Linked DNA regions of Saccharomyces cerevisiae S288C. The protein of the gene in region 3 purifies or fractionates together with the protein of the main gene of each other region. This does not show direct contact. Each region holds a gene or a part of one and is shown on either strand. Other genes may lie near its edges.

Evidence for each region.
Region 1: the proteins of REG1 (region 3) and SAK1 purify together in Saccharomyces cerevisiae (affinity purification with western blotting; 2 studies listed by BioGRID, with this or other methods). This does not show direct contact.
Region 2: the proteins of REG1 (region 3) and BMH2 purify together in Saccharomyces cerevisiae (affinity purification with western blotting; 5 studies listed by BioGRID, with this or other methods). This does not show direct contact.
Region 4: the proteins of REG1 (region 3) and SNF4 purify together in Saccharomyces cerevisiae (affinity purification with mass spectrometry; 3 studies listed by BioGRID). This does not show direct contact.

The regions. Positions count from the first base shown.
Region 1 is NC_001137.3:415,400-421,243, reverse strand, and holds SAK1 (serine/threonine protein kinase SAK1), read right to left. Parts: upstream 3,964-5,844; coding exon 535-3,963; downstream 1-534. Other genes in the region: COM2 (Com2p), read left to right, coding at 1-129; VFA1 (Vfa1p), read right to left, coding at 4,774-5,385; small subunit rRNA maturation protein LCP5, read right to left, coding at 5,690-5,844. UniProt on the Saccharomyces cerevisiae protein: Serine/threonine-protein kinase that phosphorylates SNF1, the catalytic subunit of the SNF1 kinase complex. Acts as an activator of the SNF1 kinase complex and controls its nuclear localization upon glucose and nitrogen depletion.
Region 2 is NC_001136.10:651,822-654,991, forward strand, and holds BMH2 (14-3-3 family protein BMH2), read left to right. Parts: upstream 1-1,785; coding exon 1,786-2,607; downstream 2,608-3,170.
Region 3 is NC_001136.10:497,326-502,587, forward strand, and holds REG1 (protein phosphatase regulator REG1), read right to left. Parts: upstream 3,555-5,262; coding exon 510-3,554; downstream 1-509. Other genes in the region: YDR029W (uncharacterized protein), read left to right, coding at 3,775-4,089; RAD28 (Rad28p), read right to left, coding at 4,428-5,262. UniProt on the Saccharomyces cerevisiae protein: Involved in RNA processing and negative regulation of glucose repression. Regulates the level of two antigens, P43 and P70. Binds to protein phosphatase type 1. Functions with REG2 and SNF1 protein kinase to regulate growth.
Region 4 is NC_001139.9:290,450-293,564, forward strand, and holds SNF4 (AMP-activated serine/threonine-protein kinase regulatory subunit SNF4), read left to right. Parts: upstream 1-1,583; coding exon 1,584-2,552; downstream 2,553-3,115. Other genes in the region: ubiquitin-protein transferase activating protein CDC20, read left to right, coding at 1-1,192; YGL114W (uncharacterized protein), read left to right, coding at 3,011-3,115. UniProt on the Saccharomyces cerevisiae protein: Adenine nucleotides-binding subunit gamma of AMP-activated protein kinase (AMPK), an energy sensor protein kinase that plays a key role in regulating cellular energy metabolism.

The DNA.
Region 1 (5,844 bases), on a different chromosome or scaffold from region 3:
GAGCATTTGAAGAGGCATGTCAGATCTTTACATATGTGCGAAAAACCATTTACATGCCATATCTGTAATAAGAACTTCAGCAGAAGCGATAATTTGAATCAGCACGTTAAAACTCACGCTTCCTTATGAAATTTTAAAGATACGGAAATTGCAAATTGAAAAAGTTTAATGACACTCACCAGTAATGATTTTGAAACGAAAAGGCACTTCTCAGGGTGAGACGAAGAAACGAAAAGTTTTCTAAGCACAGATACACTTCTCTCGCCGCCCTTTTAATAATTTAGAATAAAAATATTATAGATTTATAGATTATATTATGCTAAACTAAAAAGATCTACATCATATATTATTTTTAGCCTGTTAATGATATTAAGTTCATTGCAAGAGGATTGTAAATCACATGCATTTCAAATACAGAACTTATTTTAACATACACATATATGCGTGCATGTTGGCAAGGGTAAAAAGTTAGAGCTTTCTACCATATATCTGATTAACATCGTAGTCCGATGGAAATTACTTTGAATTTTACACTCATGGAAGTGCACTCCTTCTCTTCTCTTCATTTAGTTCAGCGACTGTTAAAGATCGCGATCTTTCATGGGTCCTTTGTTTTATAGCGCCATTTTCTTGTCCTTTATCACCATGGCAGCTGGTATTTCTAGCATGTTCATCATTACCAACATTAGTACTCATGGTAATACTTGCGTCCTTTCGTCCTCTTATTTTATTTGAAGGTATGGATCTCCTTCTGCCTGCATTAGTGGAACTTAGAGCATCTTTTAACAAGTCCCTTGAATAAAGAACTTTATCGAAATTTTTGTCCTTTCGATGATCGTTATTACCGTTAAATTCAACGATATCTGTTAAATTTGAGGTTTCCGTCGTAGCTTTCTTTTGGTCTAAACGCTTTGGTAATACTAATGGGCCAGGCTTACTAATGGGTTGGCTGCGGCTCAGTGCCTGATGCAGCGTCAAGTCATCCATATTTTGCGGCGTTATCGTCGTCTCACTGTCATGAACACTTCCATTGGAATACATGAAATTATTTGATCCCTTCTGCGGACTATTGGATAGTTCACTAAGTTTTGAAGAATTATGCCTTCTTCGATGACCTGCAGTCCCGACATTTAAAATTAGCTCATCTTCGTCGGAGGATGAAGATGAAGAAGATGAGACAGAAGGTGGTTCGAGGTTCAATGAACTTTTAACTTTCATGCGTCGACATGGTTGTATATCCAGAAACGGCCTTATTTGATCTTCGTTAGGTAAATCTCTTAATAATACTCCACTTCCATCTTCTGAATCAACACCAAACTCGAAAGGTAATGACTCCGTTTCTGAATATGCATTATTGTTGGAGCTATTCCGAGATTGGGTTCCAGATGTACAGGACGATGAAGTGGATGATAATTCAGAATCAGATTCTGAACCAGAACTGGTTACGGACGACTGGCTACTGCTATCATCATCATCTCCATTAAAATGACTGAAAAAGTTTCCTCTACGTACCTCGAAGGTTTTTGAATTATCCTTAGACTGTTTCATCCGTTGGTATAAGGATTTTATAGGAGAATTTTTGGAGCCTGACTTATCGCTGCTATTAATGTTTATTCTCGGAGGATCTTTTATGGCGGGTGTTTTGGTATTTTTCTTTACGGGAAACCTTCTCAAACGATCAGCGTTAGGGTTTTTTGCAGGTGATGGAATTTCTGAATCCTTTGGAACTCTTAGTTCAGTCAATTTCGTTGTTGAGATTTTTGAAAGGCTATTTGGTATTTTCGGTAAGTTTTGGTTGCGTGAATTCATTCGGCCAGTCCTTGAAGATGGTCTGCCGGAGTTGTATGACGTTAGATGAGATGAAGAATTTCTAAGAAGACTATTGTGACTCTTATCATACCGACCTGTTGCACAAAACGATGACTTTTGTTGTGGCAAAACGGGGCGAATTGGACTTGGTTGGTTGGTGACTCCACTAAAGACTGGTGATCGTCCAAGCCTTGTTGAAGACGGTGCAGAAGGAAGGTTTGGTACAGACGAAACCGAATCTCCCGCTTCTGGAGAACTCATTCCCATTCTAGCCATCGCAAAATTATCTATGTAGAAGCTGTCCAAGGATGCAAATGAGGAATTGATAGGTAAATTAACCATATTTCCGGCCTCGTGTTTATCATCGAATTTGTTTAATTCTCGTTCTAGTTCTCTTTTCGTTAAATGTCCATCGTTATCATCACCACTATAATGATCATCGTCGTTGATATTAATATTAGTGTCGCTATCAGTGTTCAAACATCCATCATTAGCACTTAATTCCTTAATATTCGATAACACTGAACCTTCGCTGACAATAACATTGGCATCCCCTCTGCCCCTAGTGGTTTCCGTTGGATGAAGGTAGTTTTTATTAGAGAGATCTGACGGATCCTTTAGCGGGATACTTTTTAGTACGGACTCTTTGATTTTTTTCCCGACACCGGAGACAGCGTTTTTCAATTCGTGCTTTGAAATAGAAATGGGTTCAAATTGATCAGTTTGGTTACATTGGAAACGTAATTTTTGCTCAAGGACAGAAGATAGTAACTTTTCATCGTTCTCCGGTACGTGGTCAAAATCCCATGAAACAAAAGGATGTTTTTTAATGGCAGGTATAGTCATTCTTTTTTGGGGATTTTTTTCTAACAATTTCAATAAAAGGTCCTTTGCCATTTCGTATTCCTCCTCACAAGATACTTTAGATACTTTGTTGGACTGTATTTCTTTAAATGTTGGAAATTTTAACGGGTCGTTTACAATTTTTTCAAATAATTTGAGCTCAAAATCAGAAAAAAAAGGCAGCATTCCAAAAAGAAGACAGTACAAGGTCACACCCACAGCCCAAATATCTATCATGAATGAGATGCAAGAACCACGAAATAAATTTTCCTTTGTTAAGTTATACCTGGTGAATGCATCTTCACCCAAGCACATTTCGGGAGCAAAAAATGCAGGCGTGCCCACTGTTTTGGCTAATTCTAACTCGTCTAAGGATTCGCTACTATCGGAACTATTCGTGCTGCTAGCAGCTAAAGAAACACCAAAATCGGAAATCTTAACAGTGCCATCTCCTGATATTAATAAGTTGGCAGGCTTAATATCTCGGTGAATGATTCCTTGGTAATGGAGATATTCTAAGCCGAGCACAACGCCTCTTAAAATCTCTCGCGTTTCTTGAAAACTTAGTAAAGAGGGACCCTTAGCATCTGATTCCATACAATCCGGTGGACACCATTTTACCTCGCCTCGAGAACAATACTCTAGAACTAAATAAATTTTTCTTGATTTTAAATCATCCAGAACTTCTATCAGTTGTACGACATGTTTGTGATGGCATTTTTTCATAATGGCAATTTCTCGTTTTATTTTATCATTTTCGGATATTTTACTTGATTTGATAAACGTGAAAAACTTCCTCTGTTTCTTTTCATGTCTATCCACTATTTTAATCGCTACTAATTGCTTACTCAATATATCTCTTGCTAATTTTACTTTTCCATGTTGTCCATGGCCTAATTCTTTGATGATCTCATAAGTGTTTAAAACTTTCCTCTTTGACACCGGGTCGTATGTTAGAGATATTCGATTAGTTTCCTTAACTTTATTCTTAGAACTCCCGCTCGAACAAAATGATGAAGTCGTTGTCGGGGTCTTAGCTAGTGAACTACTTATATGCTGTTGGTGCTGTGGATGGTTTAACTGCCTTACTCTTTGCCGCTCTAATAGCATGTTGAGGGAATCTACCGATGAAGACGCTATTGATGCATTATCTCTTGCACCTTCGGCCATGCCCGCCAAATTGGTAGCGCTACTCTTAGTCGGGCTTCGGAGTGATACACTGCTACTGGTGCCTGATTTTTCTAATTCTATTTGTAAGTTTGAAGGTACATTGACCTCTTCGACGTTAACTTTTTTATCACTCCTATCCATGTTCAAAACTCCTTATTAATATGCTTCTTTTCGTTTTATCTTAATCTATAATTACAAATTCTTACTGACAAAAAATCCAAATAAAAAAAAAGGAAACCGGTACTGTCTTAAAACATCAATTACTTTCCAAAGTAAATCTTCAGGTCACAAGGTATACTTCACTTAATGCCGCCTGATATAATCACAATGCAAAAATAAGGACAACCAAACGTGTTAACGAAGTGCTTTTAAAATTGTGACTGGATAAATGAAAAATGTCAACTCCTTAAATAAAGAATATGTAGTCAGTTCAGAAGTGAGATTTAGTTTGATCAAAATTCGTTACCTAAACTTTTTCCATATGCTAGTATGTTGCCACCTGCAGAAATAAATATAAGACTTTTTCTAAACAAAATGACTAGTCTTTAAGCGTCAATTGACTCCCTTTCCAAAAAAAAGAGTAATACGTTAGCTTTCTACGCTCAGTGATGAATATGAAGGGAACGAAGGAACAAGCCGCTGTTAATTTGAAGTCGTTCAACGATGATTATTTAACTTGATGAAGCACCATTTGCCTGCTCTCAACAGCTTGTCAGAAATACAAACATCACTCACACTTTCTGCCTTCCCTGGAAAGAAAGAAAAAAATTAGCTACAATTTAGTCGCTTGATACGTGTTGATTTTATTTTGTGATCTTTAGAATGTGATGAGCATTTAGCTTTTGGTTACGAACCATGAATAGATAATCCATGGTGAGTTTTATATACTATATAATCAATAGTTCATGGGTATTAGGCCATAGGAAGAGGAACGGTCCAACCGTTGCGTCCTTATTTTGGAACGGAGGGGAACACGTGTTTTCGAAGCAGTTCTTCAGGATCCGTATTAGAGTAATTCTCTTGCTCCTTGAGGTATCGTTCGCGATTTACTTGTTCTGTTCTTTTTCTTAGGAGTCTGCTTTCAAACATGATTTTTGCTAGTTCGTATTTTCTGTTTTTCCTTTGCAGTTCTGTAACTTTGTCAAGTATTTTGCTGTACTGTTTCTTTGTTTCTGACAAGATTTCTGCATCGTTCTTAGCCTGTGGAGATGTATCAGTAGAGTCGGTTGTAGTTGGATCAGGGTCTTTAGAGTTATTTGTCTCCTTTTCTTTCTTGGAGAATATTTTAGTAACCCAACCATCCCAGGACCCTAATTGGGTTTGAGCTGATGTCAGACTATCCATTTTCCCCTTTACTAGTTTTAATTGAGCCACGGCTTCATTATACTCTGTACTATAGAGGGGAATGACAAATTGTGGATTATCTTGTAAATGTATTTCGCATGTATATAGCCAATCTGGACCAGATGCGTTGTAAAGGACGGTAGTGGATGGTTTGCTACAGATCGCACATGGTTGCATGTCCTTTAGAGCGACCTTTCTGGCAACGTACTCATTTATCATTGTATATATACTATATCGTGGCACTTCTGGTGTGCCTTATTCCCACTATATTGTTAATTTATGGCGATTTAGTCATGTTCTGCTTAGGACTATAAAAAAAAAAAAGAAAAAAAAAGGTAGAGTTTATTCTGGAGGGACTAATAATCATAAAGGCAATGGTGCCTAAACCTCTCACACGTTAATGTCGTGAAAGCCAAAATTCTTGTTTTTAATAGCTTATATACCAGTGCCCTTCATTTATATTTAACTTTTAAATATTAAGTCTATAAACGCTTTAGGATATAAGAAAATAAACTTTTTGTATCTACAGTCTCCTTTGAGCTCTATCCCAGGCAGAACGAGTCTTCTTGGCCCCACGTCTCGAAGTGCTATCTTCCAGCTTCCTCTTTGAGCTGAATATACCAAAATCTTCACCACCGATAACGTTCATCCTTGCATTTCTTTCTCGTTGCTTTTGCT
Region 2 (3,170 bases), 150 kb from region 3:
CTCCTTCTATTTTACATGCTTCATTATCCTATTACATTATCTAGCTATGCAATTCAGCTCTCATTAAGTCTAATGACTGTTTTTCAATTGTTGTATAATCTTCTTATACCTCATTTGATAATATAGCAATAATATAAAATAGTACTCTATAGGTTATAGGAGTCTTAATACAATGAGCGCGCCATTATCGTTCTGTAAAGTAAATAGTCATTCACATAACGAGCTAATAAAAATCTCCAGATGGCACACATAGTGTATGGCAACATCAATGAGAAGAATAAGGTCTTCGAGGAATAAATTGTTCTAATCATGACAAAAACTACATAACAGAAGACTGAAAGACTGCATTAAAAAAATATTATTAGCATGAACACTAGTCAAAAAATGACACTAAGATTTCATTCCAACACTACATTTTTTCGGAAAACGTTTTATTGAAGTACTGCTTTATGGTCAGCACGTATCGCTTCATATATGATAACCTTACACAGTATCTTTCCGAAAAATCATGAAACGAAGTAACACAGCATCAATTTCTGTGAGAAATAGACAAAGATGTTTCAAAAGTTCCAACATATAGTGAGCATCGTTCATATACCTCGTACAAATCAAATTTGTCTCTTGGAATACCGAAAATTAGCCGCTCAAACACTCTCCGTTGTTAATGACAATTACACCATAGCCGCTGCCGTAGAAAATGCACGGTCTTCCGTGACGAGAAGATTCGGGGGCGAATCGCATAGATCGCTCTTTCTCCTCTTTCTCAATTCTGTCTTATCTGTATTTATAACATGAGCTCATAAACAAAGTCCCTGTTTATATATATTGATGACTTATATATCTTTCGCTTCAGCTTCTTCCCTCATTTCTACTTAATATTATCTTTTGAAATTAGCGCGATCAATTGCATTCTTTTCCACACCACCTTCAAATTTAAGAATTCATATTTGAATCGAACCGTATGTTTTACCTCTCAATAACTTGTTTCATTAATAGCTCCTTCCACAACCACCTTCATCTTCTCTGATTTGAATTATTACCGACATGAATGTTACTCTCCTGAAAATGTTAATTATATCAACTTAACAGGCCTTGAAAGTGAAGTGTTATAGTTTCTCTTCCTTTGTTTTTCCCACTTTCTTTTTTTTATATATATCTTATATTGGTTTAAGCACAGCGGATTGCTTTCTTCTAATACAAGAACTAGAACATAGGTCCACCCGTGTGATGTTGCATTCTGAAATGTTTAGTTATCTCTGTCAGAACAGCGAGGTAACACTTATTTTTGTTACGACCAATCCGTAATTCAAGCGTGGGTATTCATATGACCAGAGATAATAATACAGCGAATACTATTGAAATCGTCCCTTTTTTGTTTAGGAAGAACGGACAAATCGGTCGTCTGCTCGAAATGATTAGTAGTGTGTCACCCGGATCAGCAAAATGACACACACGAAATACGAGGAAAAAGTCGGTCGAAAGGGGCAAATGTTATTATAAGTCCCTCCAGTAGTCTTTTTTTTTTCAAATATTCATCATCAAAGGTTACGAAATCTTTTGAGCTATCTTAAACATTCGTTCTTTTTATCAAATTTCAATTACTAACTTATTTTTTCAAAAAAAATTGCCTCTCCCGGTTTTTAATCATTATTTTTTTCGATTGATTAAGGGGGAAAAGCAAAGAACGAGAAAACTTGGACAGAAGGTTAATACTCTGACAATTTCAAAACGAAGTAAAAAGAAAAATTATCAAATCAACAAAAAGTACCCGTTACAACAAAAAAAATGTCCCAAACTCGTGAAGATTCTGTTTACCTAGCTAAATTAGCTGAACAAGCCGAACGTTATGAAGAAATGGTCGAAAACATGAAGGCCGTTGCTTCATCAGGTCAAGAGTTATCTGTCGAAGAACGGAATCTATTGTCGGTTGCTTACAAGAACGTCATCGGTGCTCGCCGTGCTTCATGGAGAATAGTTTCTTCGATCGAACAAAAAGAAGAATCAAAGGAGAAATCTGAACATCAAGTTGAATTAATCCGTTCTTACCGTTCTAAAATTGAAACTGAATTGACCAAAATCTCTGACGACATTTTATCTGTGTTAGATTCTCATTTAATCCCTTCTGCTACTACTGGTGAGTCTAAAGTATTTTACTATAAGATGAAGGGTGACTACCACCGTTATTTAGCTGAATTTTCCAGCGGAGATGCAAGAGAAAAGGCAACCAACTCCTCTTTGGAGGCTTATAAAACCGCTTCCGAAATCGCCACAACTGAATTGCCTCCAACTCACCCAATTCGTTTAGGTCTAGCTTTGAATTTCTCCGTCTTCTATTACGAAATTCAAAACTCTCCTGATAAGGCTTGCCACTTGGCCAAACAAGCCTTTGATGATGCTATTGCTGAGTTAGATACTTTATCTGAAGAATCATACAAGGATAGCACTTTGATCATGCAATTATTAAGGGACAACTTGACCTTATGGACCTCTGATATTTCTGAATCTGGTCAAGAAGATCAACAACAACAACAACAACAGCAACAGCAACAGCAACAACAGCAACAACAAGCTCCAGCTGAACAAACTCAAGGTGAACCAACCAAATAAGAGCGCTGAGAAATACAAGGGGAAATGAAGATTTACCACTCCAGTTTTCTTGCTAACGAAAATGAATGCAATTCGATTTTGATACTTTTTTTAGGGGAAGAGATAATATCTTCGTCTAATACAAATTCACAAAATTTTCAATTTTACCAACTACAAAATATACAAACCTCTAAAAAAATAGTTTCTTAATATATAACATAAAATAGTTTTTCTGTTACTATTACTTCTATCACTGTTTTCTTCGTGTATTCTTATATTTTGGCTATCGTTCAGAGTTGAGACAATTTGCGAGAGTAATTGAGTAGTAATTTTCGTATGTTTTAAAATAAGTTCCTTCCATTGTATACGCACCTCTTTCTTCTGTTTTCCTTTGAATCTTGATCTACCTTACCTATTGAAGGTGAAGGCATCTTTTCTCATTTGATGAAACAGCGCTCCCTGGGTGTAGGGGGGCGGGGGTATAGTAGCGTAAATCCGCAACGGAAAAATACTTCGAGTGGAAAACTATGACCATTAATATGTATGTCTTACAAGAGAGGACAATAAACAAAGTCAAATAACCA
Region 3 (5,262 bases):
ATACCTCACCAAACCTTTAAATTGTTTTAATACTGCTTTAGGATATCAATACTGCCAATTACTGTAAGCTCTGCCTAAAACAAAGTTGTGCCTAAAACAAGCCGTGTCGTAGTTTGTTTTGTTTACTTTCTAGACTGTTGTGTGGTGTCTTCTTTATAAAGGAAAAACCCTTTAAAGATCGAAGAAAACATTGATTGTACTCTATCTGAAAATCATTACCCACGAACATATCTTAGATCAGCTGCGTTTAATTGCTAATATATAGAACACACATACGACTATGGAAGCTCAAGAAGTTCTTGTACATAAGTACCAAATATTGTAAAGGTATAAAGAAGTTTTGAAATCTGGAGCGAATTTAATTGTGTACGTAAAATAACTGCTTCGCTGTCTACATTTGTCCTTGACAATGCCAGTCGATTACAGCTTACTTGGATCCTAAAGACGGCACTGATCCACACTACCTGGATTTTTATTTTCTCTTCATGTTGACTTCAAAATTCTTTCTTCTAACTGCTGTCATTTCCATTTTCTTGTGGCTTGACGTCACTCTTTTTCCAAGAGTGCAAGTACTTGCTTGCCATACCTCTTGCATTCTGCACCACTTTGTGTAAGCTTTCATTACTCGAATCCGTCAAAGACGCTTCTTTTCTAGTGGTTTGCACGCTATCAACTTTCTTGTCCTTTAGCTTACTAGCATTATTTATATGGCAGTTTTCAAATCCTTTTGCCAAAGTGTCCATTTCTGAGTGATCTTGATGGTCCATCATATTTCCCCCGGAAACAACAGACTTGATAGATTCATTTCTAGGAGAGAAATAACCCTCTATGGCAACATCACTCGCCCCCACTTCGGCTGGTGAAGGAGTATTATTTACAATTCTAAAGCTTTGTGAACTATCGGACGCTTTTGGCTGCTTTGGAAGGGCTTTTTTCTTCTGAGATGATATGTTTGCTGGTGTCACACTGCCTTTCAATACGCTTCGATTAACCAGCTGACTGTTAGCGGGTAATGGTCTTTGTTCCTCCTCGCTGCTACTCTCTTCTTCACTATCTGAATTGAATATGAAGTTCCCTGAAGAGGAATTGCGCTTCAACGGATACGGCCTGACAGCCAGTTGTGCATCTTTGTCTACATCAGTTTTACCCCCTGTAAAATTAGTAGGATTTTTTTGTTGAGGAGTTGCCGAAGAGAGTGATGGTTGTGCTAGATCGTACAAAGAATTGGTAGATCCTGATTTCCCAAGTGACAATGTTCTCCTCAGTGAAAGTCCTTCATCGTGGTTATCGTCTACTTCTTGGTCATCGTCATCTTCTTCCTCTTCGTCGTCGCTACTATTGTATTGTGAGTCTTCAATAAATTGCTGTTCGCTATCTGATGAAGAGCTGTAATTGTCGTCGTCATATAATAACATATGCGATCCATGTTGACGTGTTGTATTATTTGCTGAAGCTTTGTGTAGTTGTGGAACATGTTTTTCCTTGGATTCTACCGCATTGTTAAATTCATAGTTTGATGCATTATCATCTGCAATGGCTGTTTGTAAGTCCATTCCTTCAGGAACATCTACAATGTCACATGAATCTACTGGTAAAAAACTGGAAGTATCACCAGTGTAGACCGAGTTATAATCGTATATGTAATCATAGCCTCTGGAGGTATTGACGTTATGTGACACAGCATTACCATACCCATTAAATTCGCCATTATCAGATTCTTCGTCTGATCCATAATTCAAAGTGGTATCAGGAAGCAACTTTATTATGGGACGTACATGAGCTCTGGAAGTAGTAGATGAAGCCACAGAGGAATTATCTGTTATTGGTGAATGAACTCCAGAGTCAGACCTCCTGGAAAATCTTGCATTTATGTAAAGGCCGCCGTGTTCTTCATCATCAGAATGTGATGAAGATGATGATTGTGAGGATGTATCATCGTCGCTAGTATTTTTGTTCAAATGTTCAGTTGCGGAGTTGATAGGAATAGATTTATGCTGAATGGCTAGCAATGGAGTCCTATTGTTGTTTATTGTTGTAACGTTCGCATTGTTATTAACATCAACATATTGTTTATTTTCATCATCGCTTTCATCATCCTCCGATTGTGAAGCTGGATATCGTAGTGCCATACATTGTTCCACCCTGTCATTAAAATGTATATGTCTATTTTTAGTAGGTTTGTTAGATTTTTCACTTGGGTTTGAGGTTAATATTGATGATAATCCCATGGAATTGTTTTCATTATCTCTATTGGAGGAAGATGTTGAGGAGGGGAACCTATTATTATCAGGAGAATTTAGGTTTTGATCCAAGTTAGCCTTACGATCATTGGTACTATTTTCTAGTATGCTTTTGTTTGATTGTGCCGTTGACCTATTGTTTTGAACATGAAGCGCTGACTTTAAATGCAGGTCTTCTTCTCCCTTGTCACCGCCACCATTTGAATTTTCTCCTACAGGATTCGGTATGGTAGAATTATCTTTTTTGTCAGAGTGTTGACTCTTCAAACTAACGCTACTGTTCGATTCTTTGGGATAATGGTAGTACTGGGCGTTAACTTGAGCGGCCAGAGCATCGAAATCGTCATGGACGTTTTTGTTGCCATTGGGATCCATTATTACCGAAGCATGTTTCATTTCTGTCATGTGTTTTCTTGCCTCATTCAGTTTCCATAAAGCGTTGTCCTCTATAATTTCTGTGACGGTTCTCTTCTTCAAAATTGGTTTCGGAGCAGCTGCGATCGACTTTGAATTTTTAGTGGGCATTGAAATTCTCTTGGAATTTTCATCATCCGAACCATATCCTCTTTCTAGATCATGTTCTTCTTCACTTTGGGCATTACCTTCAGAATCTCTTACAATAGGGCCATATAGCCAAGTCACATCAGAATCTTTTGACCAATTAACCACTTCAGGTGACACTGTTTTCAAGTTGTTTCTTGCTTTTGCCCATGTTCTCCATGAGGCATTTTCTAACCTAGCAGCATTTACTAGATCAACATCTCTTTTCTTTTTCTTTAGGATGATATATTTCCAAGAATTAGAAATTTCTGATTCTTTCCATTCATGTGACAGATAGTCAACATGTCTTTCTGGCTCTACCACTACGTCATTATCATCTTGTGGAATTAAGTAGCTATCATTATCCGCCGGCGGTGGAGAAACGGAGGTTGAGTGTTCCTGATAGCCGTCATCATAATCATCATCTGAAGAATTGCTTGAAGAATTATTAGATGAGTTGTCATAATATTCATTGTCGTTATCATATAAGTCGTCTGACCTTCCTAGCAATTTCTTGGTAGGGTCAATATATTCATCAAGAAGGCCCATTGATCTTGTTCTTTTAAGGTTGAAAGTTGATTTATGGAAATCATCATCATTTTTCGCTTGAACAGCCATCGATACTGAAGGCCCCATATCTTCGTCGTTGTCGTTATCGTTACCACTAATTTTGACATCACTTTTGCTATTACTTTCATGGCTCGCATTTCTATTTACATGCTCGTTTTCAATATCTTTCTTACCGGCGAAGTAATTTGCTAGATTTGTTGACATTTTTGGATTTTTCTTATCTCGTCTTCGTCAATATGCTTGCTTTAGGATTTATAATCTTCAAGGATATTATCTTTTCCCCCTTGCTTTGACTTTTCAACGTTCGTACAGAACACCAGGTGTGTGGTTATACGTATAACAGCCAAAAGCTAGCCCTCGTAAAACTAGTATACCAATTAGTTCTCTTTCAGGAGGTGGTGTTAAAAAAATAAGAGAGATAAAGATGAGCAAATATTATATCTTGATAGAGCTGATGAACGATAAAAAGAATACTAACTCTAGTTGTGATATTTTCTCTTTCTATTTAAATTTCAGCGATAACCCTTTCTCAAGCTTTCGTTTGAAATCGCGTCTCCTATATGGTATATTCTCCTGTTTTCTCCTTTTTTATTCCTTAAAAGACCTGATAGGGGTATTCAAACAAAAGTATTTATATTTGTCTATTCTTCTTTTATGGCTTCTTGTTCTCCTGTTCTGTCTTGCAAAAGGCTTGTCACACAATCTCAGGGCTGATTCCTTCCTTCAATATCCACTGTGAGTTTAAATGCAAACAAAAATAGAGTGAATAAAAAAAGCTTTCGGCCCGGAATTGGTTAACCCGACTTACCAATATTATGTCAGAAAAGAGGCTACAGCTGAAACTAAGGTGAGGTGGTAAGAAATGCTCTCTATTGAAAAGTATGCATGAAGTGGAGGATAAGAGGTGAAGCGGCTTGGTAAAATATACCTGCCAAGTCTGAGATGAAAGCATTTGTATATAGCTATTAGTTGTATATTCGTGTGTAGCGATATACGTTTCCGGGTAATACAAACCTACATTGGTTCAATTATAAGAGCCGCGAAGACTATTATCATATTCTATACGGCATTTATTACTTATGAACATTCAAAGATGGATCCGCCGTCGCTAACGGTGTTGTTGTTAGTTCCAAAGAACAATTTGAGGCCAACTGAATTCATTATATTTGTTTGCACAATCATGGAACTAAACTGACAATGCGAAGCCTGATTTTTTTTTACCTGATTAACCATTGGGTATTCGAGCTTGTTCCAAAGTTTTTTTTCCTCCGTATTGTATATTTCTACTTCACCATTGTCAGTAATACACAGTAAAAACTTGTCAAACCAAAGCAACCTTCGAGATACTCTTTTTTTGTATTTGATACGGCTCAGGTCTTGTGTTCCCAACTGGGAATAACTAGCTAGACCTTCTGGTTGCAGAATTTCCGTAAATGGCCTCCAAACATTCAGTTTTCCATCCATGCCGACTGAACATAGCTCTGAACCCTCACTATTCCAAACAATGTCACTGCAACATCTCAGATGGGCTTTTGATTGGTTAGAGCTGAAATAGACATCGCTTTGATCGTCATTATCATCGTTATTTATAGTCTTGAACCTATTTTTATTTCTTTTCAATTCTGAATACAGTCTGTTCCTCATTCTTAGATCCCATAATTTTACCCCACCCTCCATGTCACCACAAGCAATAATCTGTTCCCTGACGGGGTTAAATTTGCAGCATAAAATTTCTGATTGCATTCGTGTTTGATTTCCCATTCCAAGCGCAGTTACCCCTGAATTCATGGTTCTCAGGTCAATTAATCTTGGATAGTAGTCTTCACTTGCCACTACAAGCAAAGAACTGTCGTCGACAACGTTATTATCAATTTGATTTATTTTATACCCCAGGTTTATATCTTGAACCGCT
Region 4 (3,115 bases), on a different chromosome or scaffold from region 3:
CTTGAGACAAAAAAGCTATATCATGAAGAAAAGAACACATTATAGTTATCAGCAGGAACAAAAAATTCCTGATTTAATTAAATTAAGGAAAATCAATACCAATCCGGAAAGAATTCTTGATGCACCTGGTTTCCAAGACGACTTTTATTTAAACTTGTTAAGTTGGTCCAAAAAAAATGTCTTAGCTATAGCACTAGACACTGCATTATATCTGTGGAATGCCACCACTGGGGATGTTTCCCTGTTAACGGATTTCGAAAACACCACAATATGCAGCGTTACGTGGTCTGATGATGATTGTCATATCTCTATCGGTAAAGAGGATGGGAACACCGAAATTTGGGACGTTGAGACCATGTCATTAATTAGAACTATGAGATCAGGCTTAGGTGTCCGTATCGGTTCATTGTCTTGGTTAGATACTTTGATAGCTACAGGCAGTCGTAGTGGAGAAATTCAAATCAATGATGTCAGGATCAAACAGCATATTGTATCTACATGGGCAGAGCACACAGGCGAAGTCTGCGGTTTGAGCTATAAAAGTGACGGATTGCAACTTGCATCTGGTGGTAATGATAACACTGTAATGATTTGGGATACCAGAACGTCCTTGCCTCAATTTTCCAAGAAGACGCATACTGCTGCTGTAAAAGCACTAAGCTGGTGTCCATATTCGCCAAATATTCTAGCCTCTGGAGGCGGACAAACAGATAAACACATCCATTTTTGGAACAGTATCACAGGTGCACGAGTTGGCTCAATCAATACCGGATCCCAGGTGAGCTCTTTACATTGGGGCCAAAGTCATACGTCAACCAATGGTGGTATGATGAATAAAGAGATTGTTGCCACAGGAGGTAATCCAGAGAATGCAATCTCTGTTTATAATTATGAAACAAAATTCAAAGTTGCAGAAGTAGTTCATGCTCATGAAGCAAGAATATGCTGTTCTCAATTGTCCCCTGACGGAACCACATTGGCCACAGTGGGAGGAGATGAAAACTTAAAATTTTATAAGATATTTGATCCAAGATGTACAGGAAGATCGAGAGAAGACGGATTGATGGATGGTATGCTAGGACTTATTGGCAAGGAAGGTTGTCGAACAAATGATAAGGAGAATCGTTCCAAAAATTCGAGTGAGATTCATACAAGGAGGCCCTCTAGTACCAGCCAATATTTGATCAGGTGATAAAATAAAAAAAATAAAAGTTCATGTCAAGGCATATAATGAAATTTCCATACACGCATACATAATGTATAAACATAAATGTATTCAAGAAGCTTAAGAAATAAAAGTAATGAACCTTGAGAATACATCAAGATATAACTCATCACATGTTAAAGAACCCACACACCACACGCGCGAGAACTGGGAGGGAGAGAAATTTAGCAAATAACAAAATTTAGGCCTTGGAAGAAACCATAGCAATGCAATAATCGTTATTAACATAATATCTACATTGAGAACTTCTTGGGCTAGTGGTTTTGCTGCAAACTGGAAAATTGTATCAATCTTTTAACGTTAGCTAAACATCTTCTGCTGTGTTAGCATTAGGAGGAAGCGAAAAGGAAAATACATAATGAAACCGACACAGGATTCACAAGAAAAGGTTTCTATTGAACAGCAGTTAGCTGTAGAATCGATAAGGAAGTTTTTGAACTCGAAAACATCTTATGACGTGTTGCCTGTTTCTTACCGTTTAATTGTCTTGGACACCTCGTTGTTAGTGAAGAAATCACTGAATGTTCTTTTGCAAAATAGCATTGTCTCTGCGCCATTATGGGACTCCAAGACTTCCAGGTTCGCTGGACTTCTAACTACTACAGATTTTATTAATGTCATCCAGTATTACTTCTCCAATCCAGATAAGTTCGAATTAGTAGACAAATTACAGTTAGATGGATTAAAAGATATAGAGCGTGCTCTCGGTGTTGATCAACTAGATACAGCTTCAATTCATCCTTCTAGACCCTTATTTGAGGCGTGTCTTAAGATGTTAGAATCAAGAAGTGGTAGAATACCACTGATCGATCAAGATGAAGAGACACATAGAGAAATTGTCGTTAGTGTTCTTACGCAATATAGAATTCTGAAGTTCGTTGCTTTAAATTGCAGGGAAACACATTTTCTAAAGATTCCAATTGGGGACTTGAACATTATTACGCAAGATAACATGAAAAGCTGTCAAATGACCACTCCGGTCATAGACGTCATTCAGATGCTTACCCAAGGTCGGGTTTCTTCCGTCCCTATTATTGACGAAAACGGCTACTTAATCAACGTATATGAAGCATACGATGTCCTAGGCTTGATAAAAGGAGGCATCTACAACGACCTGTCATTGAGCGTCGGAGAAGCCCTTATGAGGAGAAGTGATGATTTTGAGGGTGTTTATACATGCACTAAGAATGATAAATTATCTACTATTATGGATAACATCAGAAAAGCAAGGGTGCATAGATTCTTTGTAGTTGATGACGTCGGACGGTTGGTTGGTGTCTTGACGTTAAGCGATATTCTCAAATATATCCTTCTAGGTAGCAACTGAAACGAGCCGATGAGATTTTTGTGTACATACTATAAATAAATGCAACTAATAAAGTCATGATTAATCAGTCATGCATACTTCATCTGACCAATATATTTTCATCTTGCTTATTTTGGGTATAATTCGGCGGAAATTCGGTTATAAAGCGAAGTGAAAAATCGATTAGTAATGATACTGATGCGATCTCTGGGAGGGGGGAATGCTGCATATAAGGGTGAAGGAAGATAATGCAAAGCCTTTTGTAGTATTGTCTGTTGATACCAAAATAAATTAGTTCATCAAAAAGGTACAGGCAGCTAAAGAAAAGCTGTAAATTTAACGCCGTAGAAGGTATTTTTCGTGAGATCTATCTCAAGGCATCATTTTTTTTATTTTCGCACCAAGATAGGAAGAAAAAGAGTCACAGTATAGAGGACTAACCGTTAAAGATTCTAAATCGGTACTGTAAATACTTTGAAATGCCTCAATCTACTCCAAGTCAAGAAGTACAGCGTGTACCATGGGATAATAAACCTGCTTTGAAGCAGATAACACTCCGAGCAACCATAGCAGGTATCGCTATA